3 linked regions of the Drosophila melanogaster genome follow. The gene in region 1 interacts genetically with each later gene. Each region holds a gene or a part of one and is shown on either strand. Other genes may lie near its edges.

Region 1 (3,261 bases):
CACTACGGCCCTGGACGTTGATCTGGAGCCCACTTCGGAGCGTTCCGATGACTCGACGCAGGCGCAGCAGGACGGAAGCTACGACAGCGACTACTAGGGAGCTGCAACTCCAAATTCACGCGGTTGTATATACGTTAAATGAGAAACACAGTAAACAAAAAAGAAAACTTAGTAACAGATACAAAAAAAAACCCCGATCGATTGCTGCTGTATTGTCGTGGAGGAAAGGAAACCAATTATGAAGTATGATAAAGTCTAGATAACGTTTAGCATTAGTAATTTAAAATATACAAAAAAGTAAATGGTTTAAACAAAAATTGTGCACTCTGAAAGTCTAAGGCAAAATAACGAAAAAGAAACAACAACAACAAAAAACAACAACAATTAAATACCACTTAAAAATATACAAAAAAAAAGGGAGATATACATTTTAAATGTTAAGTTAAAGCAACAAGGATCTTATGGGAATTAAATATGTTGGACTTGGACATTAAAACTATTCAAAGTGAAAACATTATACTACTGCTATAAGTTCCCCATCATATCTAAGGTACTTCCAATTCATCCTCTTCATGTTTTATCGGAAAGCGCAGGATTTGCTCGTGGCTCAAGCCCTGAGTGATATCCAGCACGCAGCGCAGTCGCTCCAAGTCAACGTTCAACATGGTGGCCAGTGTGGGCAGATGCTCCTCCAGCAAAATGTACTGACGCGGCCGCTGCATGGTCAGAATGCTGCTGATGTCCTTGGTGCCGAAGATCTCGCCAATGGAATCGGACAGCGAGAAGTTCAAGGAGACATCGGAGTCGAGATCCGATGGCGATTTGTTTACGATTTCACCGCGCCGCTCCGGAGTTTGGATCTCATCGGGTGTGAGGCTTAGATCGCTAAGTTGCATAGCTGGAGCAGATAAGGATCGTCTTCGAGTGGCACAGCTGGAATCCTCAGCGGGCGGAAGTTGATGAACAAAATGGGCGGGATATTTGGCAGGCAGCTTGGATGGCGATGGTGTGCTTCCTAGCTGATCGGTGGAAATTCTTGACTGCAGTTTCTTAGCCGGTTGCTTTGGTTTTCGACCACGTTTTTTGGGAGTGCATTGAATGCTTCTCCTTTGTGAATTCCTTTGATGAACTTCTTTCTGAATATTATTCTTCTTCTTTACGGTCTTTTCAACTTCATCTAAACTTTTGAGGTGGATAATCTTATATGGAGGCTTCAGGTGAACGATTCTATTGGAAGTTTTCAAGGGGACAACTTTATCCCGGGATCCAAGATGGACTAGATTATCCGAGGATCTCACGGGCACCAACTTAGCTGCAGGCTTCAGGTGAACCACTTTCCCTTGCTGCAACAATAGTTCACTGTAATCATCTTCAGTGTTTCCAAATAACTGAGGAGAAAGACTTTTGGGCGGAATCTTCTGCAGATCCCGGTTTTCCTTGTCGATGAGGCGCTGTGATCGCCGCAATGGGGAGTGCTGGGAGCCACCCATAAAGGAGCAGTAGGTGGAGGCCGGACTCGGGACAACTGTTGTCCTGTCCATACTGTTTTATACTACATAAAGAACACCAATGTAGTTTAAAACTATTATTCAATGCAAAATTATAAAAAAATAACAGTTGGCGCGATAGCAGGACTTATCAATTGAATAACAGGACCTTATTATCGACAAAAGCTTAGAGCTGCCACGCAATTTAATAAAGTTATCGTTCGTAAAGTTATGTCGAATTTAGATTTAAATTGAAATTGATGAGGTAATATATTTTTAAAATAAAATCCTATCACTTATTGTTGCTTAAACTAAAATTTGTTTCAAGAAAGACTATTATGAGATAGATCTTCGACTAAAAATAACTCAATACTCATAATGTTTTCATTTTTTTTAAGTTTGTTTATAAATTTAACAGTGGGTAAACAGTGAGTCCACCTGGCAACGCTCAATGCAGTATTTTTGTGTTACCATCTCCTTACCTGTAAGTATAGTGAATATATTTTCAGTATTGACTGCCATGCCGCATTGTTTTCAATCTGGTCACATCCAATGGCAGCGATTTTACGTAAAACCCTAATTGTAAGTAAAAAATAATAAAAATGTTCACTTAAAATCCAATGCCACCATGAATTTAGCTTGCGGGAAGCCTGCATAGGAGTTTTGCCTCCGCCGCCAAGGCCGCAAAAGCAAAGCCCGTCAAAACCAGCACCATTTCAGCTGTCGGCGAGTCCATCGCCGCCAAGGGGTAAGCACTTTCTTTAATTTATTTACATAAAAACCAAGTAAATATTCTCCTGATTGTAGCTTCTTGCGTCCCCATAAGCCGTACTCCCCACCTGCAGATGCCGCCGAACGTATTCGAACCGTAGCCGCCTCGCTTCAACTGAAATCCGACCAGTTGGGGAATCTCTCCGAGAAATTCGAATTCCTGAACGCGTGCTTCCAGGAGCTGCAGCACGGAGTGCCCAACTCCCAGGTACATGAACTGCGCACCGTCAGCGATGTTATCGCTTTCTACCAAACAGCTGTGGACACCACCGTGCCGTTTGATGCACTGAAGCGCATCGAGCTGCCGGAGAATTTGCACATCCAGTACGAGTACGTGCGATTCCATCCCGAGACAGATACCAAATTCGACGGCAAAACGGCTTTCCCCAAGAGCTCCACCCTAGTCACCGGTCTCAAGTACCGTGGAAAGTACGAGGGACACGAAGCCAAGCGATCCTGGCCTTAGAAACAGCCAATTGTTAGTTGTTAATGTCTTACACTTATTAAATGCATTCTGGAAGCCCGAGATTTACGTCATATATATTAGGTATTACATTTATTAAATGTTAAATATGCTTAATGGCTAAAATTAATGAATACTACTAAGTATTGGTAGTCTATAAATACTCGGCTAAAATCTGTCTGAGATCCGAGTTGTAAACACTTTCCAGGGCCGCCAACACTCGATCGTCAGCAAGTAGCTCCATTAGCCTTCTGTCCTCCTTGACTGCCTCGAAAGTGGGATACATGAGCTCGCTGGTGACATCGGTTACTGCCGGCTTGTTCATGATGCTAAGAATCTTCTTCTGCAGCTCGATCTCTGGATCGGGAGCTTTTAGCTTGGCCAGAGCATTGGCCTCGCCCACCTCTCGCTTCAGTTGCTCCTCGCGTTCGCCTTCGAGGTACTTAAGAATCACCTCGTACTGCGACGCGGTCAATGGATGATTGTCTGCCAGCCTTTCCAGCAGCCCCTGCATTTCCTGGGGATGTCGTCGCTGTCCCT
Region 2 (4,799 bases), on another chromosome or scaffold:
AGGCTTTGAAAGGATCGCATCACGAATGTGGGGTTTCGGTTGAAATATATAAGCAACTCGGCCACCGTTTGCTACAAGTGATAACCAAATCAAATAAAATAAAATAAAAGATAAAATAATAAAATATAAATTAACTTCTGCCCACCTTGACATCCGCATTCATTAGCTGTTGCAGGCTGGACTGGGTGCAACTGACCACCAGCTCGATGCAACTATTGGCCAACTCCGGTTCCTCGGTCAGGAAGACGTGTGTGTAGATCCGCAGGAACGAGATGGAGAACAAGGTGCCAATGTGTTTCTGCATTTGTTTGGCTATCAATACCAAAACTCCCTTGCAAAGCGGATTCACGATGCAATGCGGCAGGACCATGGCAGTCAGAAGGCGATGATACTTGCAGGTGAACTCCTGAACGCACGTGAATCCCAACATTTTCGTAAGCTGCAAACAGACCGGTCAAATTTTGGGAAGTGAAGAAAAGTTCGTCTATTTACGCACCGCTCGGAGGGATCGGGTGAAGCGTACGCCATCCAAAAGATAAACGTTCAAAGCCAGGCGAACGGTGAGGTCGAGAGCATCTCGCTTGTACCAGTTCCACAGATGAATCGTCTGCAGACCCTGGCTGGCACACATCTCGGTGGCCGCCAGCACAGCTTCTTGCGCCACCAGTGAGCGAGTGTGCACCAGAAAGAAGAATGTCATTTTGAACCAGTGAAAGAGCCAGATTTCATTATCCTCCATGTGCGCAATGGCGGTCAGTACGTTGAGCATACTTCTTTGCTGCAGCACATTTTGCTCTGTCAGTGGCTTTGCTAGCATTGCTTTTATAGCAGCTAGAACAAGATTGGCTAATTGCTCCAAGAATTCTGGCGAACGCACACGCATCGCAGAGACCAGCTGGCCGATAACCTTAACGCTAACCTTTTGCAGTGCCTCCGTTTCTCTTAGCAGGCCAAGAATCACATTGGGTTCAAAGCACAGAAGGTCCAGATGCTGGGCAATACATTCAAAATCGGGATAAAACAATAAATCATTTGCTATCATTTCGAGGTTGGTGCTTGAAAAGTCTGGACATGGCAGCTGTTGCTTGCATTTTCCGAGGTAAATACCTGGCAGTTTCTTTGGCAGTGGCCTGCATTTCGGGCAGTATAGCTCAATGCGATCTTTGACTTTAAAGACACTCAATTTACCTGGCTGGGAGCAGAGCAATAGGCGTATAACTTGAGCGCGGCCACTACGATTGTTAATGGTGGGCAGAGCTTTCATCAGTTGCTCCGGCTTTATGAAACCCGATATGTACAACTGCGGAAGGTTGCTACAGAATATCTCCTGTGTCTCCTCGGATTGAAATAGCCTCATGTACTGCTGGGCATAGAAGCTTTGCATTTGGGTATGAACACTAGAAGGTGTCTCCAAGCGAATGGCGCAAAGGTAGGACAGCTTCAAATGTCGCTGAAGAATGGCCAGCAGCTGGTGTTGCGTTTGAGTCTTTAAAAAGTGCCGGATGAAGGTGATTTGCATCAAAAGGGAGCAGATTTCCAAGTGTATGTGTCTTCGGTCTGCGGAACACTTTGATTCCAGCTCAACCAGCTGCATTGAAAGGTTATTCCAATTGGTATCCGCAACCTTTATGATTTCACACTGCAGCGGTAACATGGCCAGAACTGAGGAATCGATGTGACCTTCGTGCTCAGCTATTTTATGCTGACTCTGTGACAGAATTAGTTTCTCCAGCTGCTTGAAGCCTCGTAAAATAGCAATCAGTTTCTGCCAATCCTTCGACAATACTTCTTCCTTCTTCAAGATTTCAACGAGACTTTGGGTAAGCACTTGGACCACTCCTGAGCGCATCTCAGTCTGTTTCAAGCCCATTAGCGCCAATATGGGCACCAAATGTGTGGGGTGGCAGTGCCAATGGCTTAACATAAGCTGCTGCAAGTGCACCAGTTGCTCCAATGGTACAACCGAATGCTCTAGCTGGCCTTGAATATAGGAACTTAGGGTCTCCAGCAGTCCATCGTCCAATTCAATGGCTGTCGGCAAACTAAGGATCTCGTTCAAAAGCAGGTAGCCAAGATGGTGGGCTGGACGTGCACGCATATGCAGAACTTCTAGCAGTAGCTTTGTTGTTATATTGAGCCGTTTTAGCTCCTGGCGCGTCATACATCCCATGTCCAGCCACTTGGCTACTGCCGACCACATGATTGCCGTCGCCTCCAACGTTAATTGCGCATAATGTCCAACGTCCGGATTTGTTATCCAGCTGCTGGCCGACTGTGATCGTAGGACATTGTGACAGTAATTCAAGCTGGCCAGTTTTGTGTCCATGTCGCACTCCTTGAGGATTAGCAGAGCCTGATGAAGGCTGCCCGAGAAGATGTCGCCGTGCGTGGCGTATCCAATGTGATGGGCATGCTGGAGGACCTCCAGCAGGCTCTTGGCATACATGTCGGCTTGCTCAAGGGGCACCTTGATGTCCTCGATAGCGCAGTGCGGATCGAACTCCTGCAGGCATTCCACATCGCATCGGAATATTCTTACAGTTATGGCGGGTTTTCGCTCATTACTCAATTGGCCGAGGTCCAGGGAACTTAGCTGAAGGTGCGTCTCCTCAATGGCTTCCACATAGGCCAGTACAAGGCGTTCAAAAAGCTTAGGATGATTGGAACAGCAGGAGCTCAGTATTTTCCTTTGAAGATTGATGCACTCGCTGCAGCAGAAAAACGGTGTGTCATAAGTTTGGAGTCCAATGCTTGTGGCTCATCTTACCTGCTATCTGGAGATTCACTAAGGCACTTGGCCAGCTTGTTGAGCAGCCAGAGTAGGAATGTGTCCTGGAATTTGTTGTGCAGCTCCCGCACCAACGAACAGCTTATCAGACTCGGCTCCTGGCACAATATGTCTTCTATAACGCTGTACACGCCGGAAAAGTTGCTTACGTTCCGGTTTACGTGGTTGTAAAGCAACTTCCACATATCCTTCCGTTGTGTCGACATTTTGCCAAGTTTATTTAAAACTCGCAAAAACGCGACCTTTGTTTACGAAAGCCGGCATTCGCCGCACTTGTGGCTATCGATATGTTTGGCAGCTTCTTCTTCTTTTTCTTGAATAACAGCCACGTTCCAACTGCGATTTTACATATATTAATTTAAAAAAAAATTAGTTAATATATGTTTACATTACCGCGTTTTACACTTATTGACAATTTTCTTTTTCTCCTCAAATTTAAGATTTACATTGCATAATATGAAATTAACAGAAGAGTTTGCTAAGTGTAAACGGCGCATAACCCGCGTAGGTGTGCGCGTCGTGGTTAACAATTTACAGTCACACTAAAAATGCATAGTTAATCAAAATAAGAAAAATATTTTTATGTTATTGTAAATAAGTTTTTGAGAAAAAATGGAAGTGGAATACGACGACTCTGGTTGGCAGGGCCGCGCCAAAGGACAAACCAATCCGGAGGTAATTGAGTATAGAGCGTGTACGGCGTGGCAGGCAATCCCGGCAATTTGATGACGCTACTAGATAAACCATAAAAAATAACAACTAAACATCATGTTATCCCATCCCAATCGAAGGAAACGCTTGAGGACAATCCGCAGAAGACGATACAGGAATGCCTGGAGAAGTTCCTCACACCGGACTACATCATGGAGCCGGGGATATTTACGCAGCTGAAGCGCTACTTTCAGTCGGGCGGATCTCCGGAGGAGGTTATATCGATGCTATCCGAGAACTACAAGGCGGTGGCCCAGATGGCCAACCTGCTTGCGGAATGGCTCATCCTGGCGGGCGTCAAGGTTACCGAAGTCCAGGCCATGGTGGAGAATCATCTCAAGGAAATGATTCTTAAGTCCTTCGATCCCAAGAAGGCGGACACCATATTCACGGAGGAGGGTGAGACGCCCGACTGGCTAACCGAGATGATCGACCACTATACGTGGCGCTCGCTAATCTACCGACTGGCCGAAGAATATCCCGATTGTCTAATGCTGAACTTTACAATCAAGTTGATCTCGGACGCGGGCTTCCAGAGCGAGATCACTTCCATTTCGACAGCGGCACAGCAGATTGAGGTTTTCTCGCGGGTTCTAAAGACCTCGATCGTCAAATTTCTAAACAATCCGGATGATGTGCACGGTGCCATTCAGGAGTGCGCACGAATGGTCTGCCATGGCCAGCACACTTACGTATACTCCCAGGTGCTCATCCAGGTCCTCAGCCAGGAGCAGAAGGGTGGGTTCAACATGAAGCGGCTCTCTCAGGAAATTATTAAATACGCCCTGCAGAAGTATGAAAATAACTGACGATTCCACATAGTTAGTCATAACATAAATCCTTTCTTTTGCTTCATTGTTTAGCAATCAAAATGTAACGCCTATTACAATGGCCCTGAATGGTTCGGCAGTCTATCCGCAAGCATGTCAAGCCCTAACTTCCATGCTCACCCGCAATACACTGAATCCCGCCGATATCACCGTGCTGTTTCGCAACTACTCCGGTTCCGATCCACCGCCCATCGACTTGATACGAAACCCCCAGTTTCTGGAGCTACTGGTAGACGCGCTCTTTCGTTCCGGCGTTAAAATCAATCCCGAGCACAAACCGAAGTATATGTTTCTGCTAGCCTACGCGTCCGCGGTCATCGACCAGCCGGCCAAAAAGCGACCAATGACTGAGCGCATGCTAAACAAGGAGGAGCTAAAGAGCACCATTCAGGCTATCGAAAAGGCACACACCATTTGTAATGTGGACCAGGGATCCACCGAGCTAATCGCCGAGTTGCAAACGCTGTATA
Region 3 (5,423 bases), on another chromosome or scaffold:
TATTCTTTTTTATGCTGAATGAATTGGAATGTTTAAAAGTTATGAGCTTACTTGGTAGTGGTTCCGCTTTTGGGTGGCGCCACGTTGCCATTTAATATCTGCTCCTGCACCTGCGTCTGGGCGGAGAAGAAAAAGAGGTCCAGCAGGTGGACATTCTGCATAAGAACCACGCACAGCTGGTTCAGCAGGATCACCAGGCGCTTCTCGAGATCGGGCGGAAAGATCTCGCCCTGGCTGGATGCCAGTATCTTGAGCAGGGGTCGCAGGAAGGGCTCGTGGCAGAGCAGCTGGTGGCGCGAGTGGCTGACGAGCAGTTCGTACAGCTTCAGCTGCTCCAGCCTCACAGCGTTGGCATACCGTCCCGTGGTGCAGGCCCACTCGTACAGCTTGTCCAGCAGATTCTCGCTGAGCAGGAATTCCAGGCAGGGCGCCGCAGGCGGACCACTAGCCTCGGCCGCCGGCAGCGAGACTTTGTTGCAGTGATGCAGCTCCACGAGCAGCAGGGTGACCATGTAGTCCAAGTGCGAGACCACGCCCAGCACGTCGTCGTGCGAGGGCGGTGCACTGTGCTGGATGATCTCGAAGGCCTGCTGCCAGTGCTTACAGAAGCTGTCGTAGCAAGCGCGCGGATCGCAGTCTGTGGCAGCGTCGATGGGTCGCTGTCGCAGTGGGCCGACGTGTCCGACGGAGGCAACGCCTCCACCGCTGCTCTGGCGCAGCCACATCGTTGTCGGTGCGGTGTGTGTGCGATTCGGTGGCTTTTAGTGGCGCTGGTCCGCTGATAACTGCTCCGTGTGCGTTTCGTTTGGCATGAATTGGTGGTGCTGGTGCTCTGTTATCTCTCGTTTTGTGCTTTTGTCCGACTGTGTGAGTGGTGAGTATTTCAATGTTGCTCGCTTTTTAAATATTTAGAAGCTAAAAGAAGACGCACTTTAGTTGAATATTCGCTATTTACTTTTCTCTAATGTTCCCAAGAACAACAAGTGACACACTTACGCACACAGCCACACACACACCTGTGTACGTGTGCCCACCTATTTGGGCACTCACTGTGGTTGTTGTTGCTGCTGCTGCTCGCTCACCTGATGAATTTAGATTTGATCATCGTCATCGTCTCCGCTGCTTTCCGCTCTCCGTGCATCGTGCATCTACACCCATTACTGTTTAGTGGCCCTTCTTAGATGGGTTTTCACGCTTGCAGCATTTGCAGCGTTTTTTTTTTTGGCACTTTGGCAATTACAATTACAAATACAATTAAGTGGTAGTACCAACACTTCCGCAGATTTGCGGACTAGATTTGCGTTCTTGCAGCACGAAATTCGCGCTTTTGGCGCGGGTTTTGAAGTCAAGAAAGGGAAGGCAGTCCGGCCCGCACTTTATTGCCTCATTTTGCACTATTTTCGTAGTGTTTCCAAAGCAATTCTGCGTAAATATTTACAATTATATCTGCACGGAAATAGAAAGTTAGCGATGAGCAGCTATCAATATAACATATCGATGTTTCGATTATACCTGAGATACATCGGGAATTTTTGACATCGGGGTGTAGCAATTCCATTTTAGTTTTATTTTTATCTAATTATCTATTCACTTTTAAAACAGCGTGCTATGATCACAAGTATTAGTTTGATTAAATGCGTTCTGTTTCATTATCCCAGCGTTCCACTTACCAGTATTTCTTATCGCCTGTGTGACCAGACTTCCGCGCTTCTATCAGCTGTTCGCGCTACCGCCATTTGAATTTAATGAAATGGTAAATACAAAAATTTGATTTATTTAATTCCATTTCCCTAATCATTTATTCCTAAAGCGGCGCAGTCTGGCTCCCAGCCAACGTGGACCACTGCGTCCCGAGTCCCGTCACTCCTTCACGCCGCCACTGCTGAAGAAAAACAAGCGATCCTGCCAGCAGGAACTGGAGCGAGAGCAAGAACTGGACAGAAGACGACTGGGCGCCCTCCGAGATGCCAGCAACACATCAGAGCTCCCACTGCCTATTCGCTTCACGGCGAACAGCGAGTATGAGTTGGCCATTGCCAAGGTTCTGGCACGGAAGTTCAAGGTGCCCATGGACAATTACGTACCGGATTACGGTGGTAAACGGGTCCTGGGCGTGCGGCGCTGCATTTCCCGACGACCCCTACACGATCCGATGGCCTGCAACGCCTTGGTACTCTTCCATCCACCCGCCTACACAGAACACGAGCGCATGGGCATGGATCCGACCAAGGTTCTGGTGCACGTCGTCGTCGATCCGCTGCTGAGCAACATATTGCGGCCGCACCAGCGCGAGGGAGTGCGTTTCATGTACGAGTGTGTGGAGGGAAAGCGGGGCAACTTCAATGGATGCATCATGGCCGACGAAATGGGTCTCGGGAAGACGCTGCAGTGCGTAACGCTGGTCTGGACACTTCTAAGGCAGGGGCCCGAGTGCAAGCCGACGATCAACAAAGCCATTGTCGTGTCTCCATCATCGCTGGTTAAGAACTGGGAGAAGGAGTTTACCAAGTGGCTTCACGGTCGACTCCTTTGCCTGCCCATGGAGGGCGGGACCAAGGAGAACACCATCCGAGCACTCGAGCAGTTCTCCATGACTTCTGCCCGGCTGGGGACACCTGTTCTGCTCATCAGCTACGAGACATTTCGCATCTACGCGGAGATCCTGTGCAAGTACGAGGTGGGAATGGTGATATGCGACGAGGGACATCGCCTCAAGAACAGCGACAATCTGACGTATCAGGCTCTCATGGGACTGAAGACAAAGCGACGGGTCTTGCTTTCCGGCACTCCCATCCAGAACGATCTTACTGAGTACTACAGCCTGGTGAACTTTGTAAACCCGGAGATGCTGGGAACGGCGGCCGTGTTTAAGCGCAACTTCGAGAGCGCTATTCTGCGGGGCCAGAATACTGACTCCACGGAACAGGAGCGACAACGGGCCATAGAGAAGACACAGGAGCTGATAGGTCTGGTCGATCAGTGCATCATTCGTCGCACTAATCAAATTCTAACCAAATATCTGCCGGTTAAGTTTGAAATGGTTATCTGTGCGAAACTGACGGCGATTCAACTCGAGCTATACACGAATTTCTTGAAGTCTGATCAAGTTCGACGTAGTTTGGCGGGTAAGTCATTAGGCAATACTACCACAACATTCCTACCATTTACAATTCCCTTCAAGATTGCAATGAAAAGGCTTCGCTTACGGCGCTGGCAGACATTACAACGCTTAAGAAGATTTGCAGTCATCCGGATCTCATATATGAGAAGCTCACTGCGCGGGAAAAGGGATTCGAAAACTCCCAAAATGTGCTGCCTAGTAATTACAAACCAAAGTACGTCGCCTGTTGCGCGCGAATAGCAATGGCTATTAATGAATCTTTTGTGTTCCAGGGATCTCAATCCAGAGCTAAGTGGCAAGTTCATGCTCCTGGATTTCATGCTGGCAGCAATACGTGCAGAGGGCAACGACAAGGTGGTTCTCATTTCCAATTACACACAGACCCTGGACTTGTTCGAGCAGCTCGCGAGGAAGCGAAAGTACGGATTTGTCCGGCTTGATGGCACCATGTCCATCAAGAAGCGATCGAAGGTTGTTGACCGATTCAATGACCCGGAGTCTGACAGCTTCCTTTTCATGCTGAGCAGCAAGGCTGGCGGCTGCGGCTTGAATTTGATTGGAGCCAACCGCCTGTTCATGTTTGACCCAGACTGGAATCCGGCCAACGATGAGCAGGCAATGGCCAGAGTGTGGCGTGACGGGCAAAAGAAGCCCTGTTACATATATCGCCTCGTTGCCGTGAGTACCTGAATTGGTTCTGCACGGAACTTTCTTTTTCAACTCAAGAAATCTCTTTCAGAGTGGTTCCATCGAGGAGAAGATCCTGCAGCGACAGACGCACAAAAAATCCCTGTCGAGCACCATCATTGACAACAACGAGTCGGCCGAGAAGCATTTCACCCGCGACGATCTGAAGGACTTGTTTACATTTGATGCGAACATTCTGTCCGACACACACGACAAGTAAGAACTGGCTTTGGATACCCTTTAGATCATGATCGTGTAACATATCTTTTCAGGCTCAAGTGTAAGCGCTGCGTTCAAAATATACAAATGAAGCCACCGCCCGAGGACACGGACTGCACCTCGCATTTGTCACAATGGTACCATTGCTCCAACAACAGAGGCCTGCCTGACAATATTCTCGCCCAGGCCTGGATGGATTGCAAGTGCGTGTCCTTTGTCTTCCACCACCGATCGCAGGCTCAGGAAATTGTGCCGAGTGCTGAGGAGGAAGCAACAGATCAGCCAGAGGAAAAACCAGAAAGCCGCAAACGATCATCCACGCCCGCCAGTGATGACAGTGCCGATGAGGACTTCCGTGGATTCTAGCAATTGTTTGCAGTTTATTGTTTCTCGAATTTCCTTTTTCTTCGCACTTAAGTCTAAACTTAAGATAACTTTTTCTGGCTTCCTTTGCAATCCTAACAAGTTATTAATTTAACATTTCAAAAATGGAACCAGCACAAAATGTTAACGTGCTAGGGGTGAAGGCTTCTATAAACTAATCTGGCAATGTAGGAGTCAGTCCAGAAAATAGTTTACTTTTTTGTGAAATACTGATCAATTTCTATACTCTTAACTGGCCGCCAATCGGGCAAAGTAGTAGGTTAACATAGCTTAGGACAAATACAAGCAAACATCGAAATTCGGATTCTAGTGTGTATTCACTTGCTTAAGCGCAAAGTTATTTAAGTTGGTTACTTAAAATCAACAGCCATCTCCGCTAGCACGTTATTCTCTGCACATAAAAAGCAATTTGGCGTATAGCAACGTCCGGATTAAAACCCTGTCAGATACAGATTAATATTATGCGTGTGTATATGTATAAGTATTAAACCATTCGCAGTGTTAACACAGTCAATTGAACACTTGATGTATTCGGGTCTATACATCAATAATTTTATGCTCCAGCTCCACCCAGACGTTGCTCTTCTCCGGCGCCTTGAGGAGCGGCTGTTGCTGCAGCTCGGCCAAAAACCCACCGATGGCCTGATAGTACCTAAAAAGCAAGCACACCCATGGATAAATGGGAAAGTGAAGATTAATTGCCGGCCATACCCGTCCACTATCCAAGTGTCGTTGTGCGATCCGCCGGGGAATTCGAGCAGGCGCTTTATCTCGCTGCCGCATTTGGTATACAAGGCACGCATCATGCGCGGTGGCACTAAGTTGTCCGCAAGGCCCGAAATAAACAAAAAGGGAACCGAACACTTGCCTATCTTGCTCATGGAGTGATACTGCATGTGAAACAACAAACAATAATGTGGTAATGAGATAAAGTAAACAGAGGGCTCAACCGGCGACGACTACCCACCTTATTCTTAAATAATAGATTTGGTATATACTTCACAGCGGGATG

Evidence for each region. A genetic interaction does not mean that the proteins touch.
Region 2: of mei-P22 (region 1) and mei-41, changing one suppresses a phenotype caused by changing the other (phenotypic suppression), as found in Drosophila melanogaster (one study listed by BioGRID).
Region 3: of mei-P22 (region 1) and okr, changing one suppresses a phenotype caused by changing the other (phenotypic suppression), as found in Drosophila melanogaster (one study listed by BioGRID).

The regions. Positions count from the first base shown.
Region 1 is NT_037436.4:7,242,668-7,245,928, reverse strand, and holds mei-P22 (meiotic P22), read right to left. Parts: upstream 1,542-3,261; coding exon 546-1,541; downstream 1-545. Other genes in the region: Cdc27 (cell division cycle 27), read left to right, coding at 1-97; mRpL50 (mitochondrial ribosomal protein L50), read left to right, coding at 2,040-2,069, 2,126-2,235, 2,295-2,724; Neos (neosin), read right to left, coding at 2,876-3,261. UniProt on the Drosophila melanogaster protein: Required for formation of the mei-W68-mediated double-strand breaks (DSBs) that initiate meiotic recombination.
Region 2 is NC_004354.4:16,389,956-16,394,754, reverse strand, and holds the start of mei-41 (meiotic 41), read right to left. Parts: upstream 3,058-4,799; 5' UTR 2,995-3,057; coding exon 2,768-2,994; intron 2,709-2,767; coding exon 497-2,708; intron 440-496; coding exon 146-439; intron 72-145; coding exon 1-71. Other genes in the region: TH1, read left to right, coding at 3,401-3,463, 3,580-4,292, 4,363-4,799. UniProt on the Drosophila melanogaster protein: Serine/threonine protein kinase which activates checkpoint signaling upon genotoxic stresses such as ionizing radiation (IR), ultraviolet light (UV), or DNA replication stalling, thereby acting as a DNA damage sensor.
Region 3 is NT_033779.5:2,989,037-2,994,459, reverse strand, and holds okr (okra), read left to right. Parts: upstream 1-1,700; 5' UTR 1,701-1,750; coding exon 1,751-1,753; intron 1,754-1,810; coding exon 1,811-3,125; intron 3,126-3,181; coding exon 3,182-3,335; intron 3,336-3,393; coding exon 3,394-3,799; intron 3,800-3,860; coding exon 3,861-4,024; intron 4,025-4,080; coding exon 4,081-4,393; 3' UTR 4,394-4,866; downstream 4,867-5,423. Other genes in the region: CG3558 (uncharacterized protein), read right to left, coding at 52-725; Bem46, read right to left, coding at 4,949-5,063, 5,123-5,301, 5,379-5,423.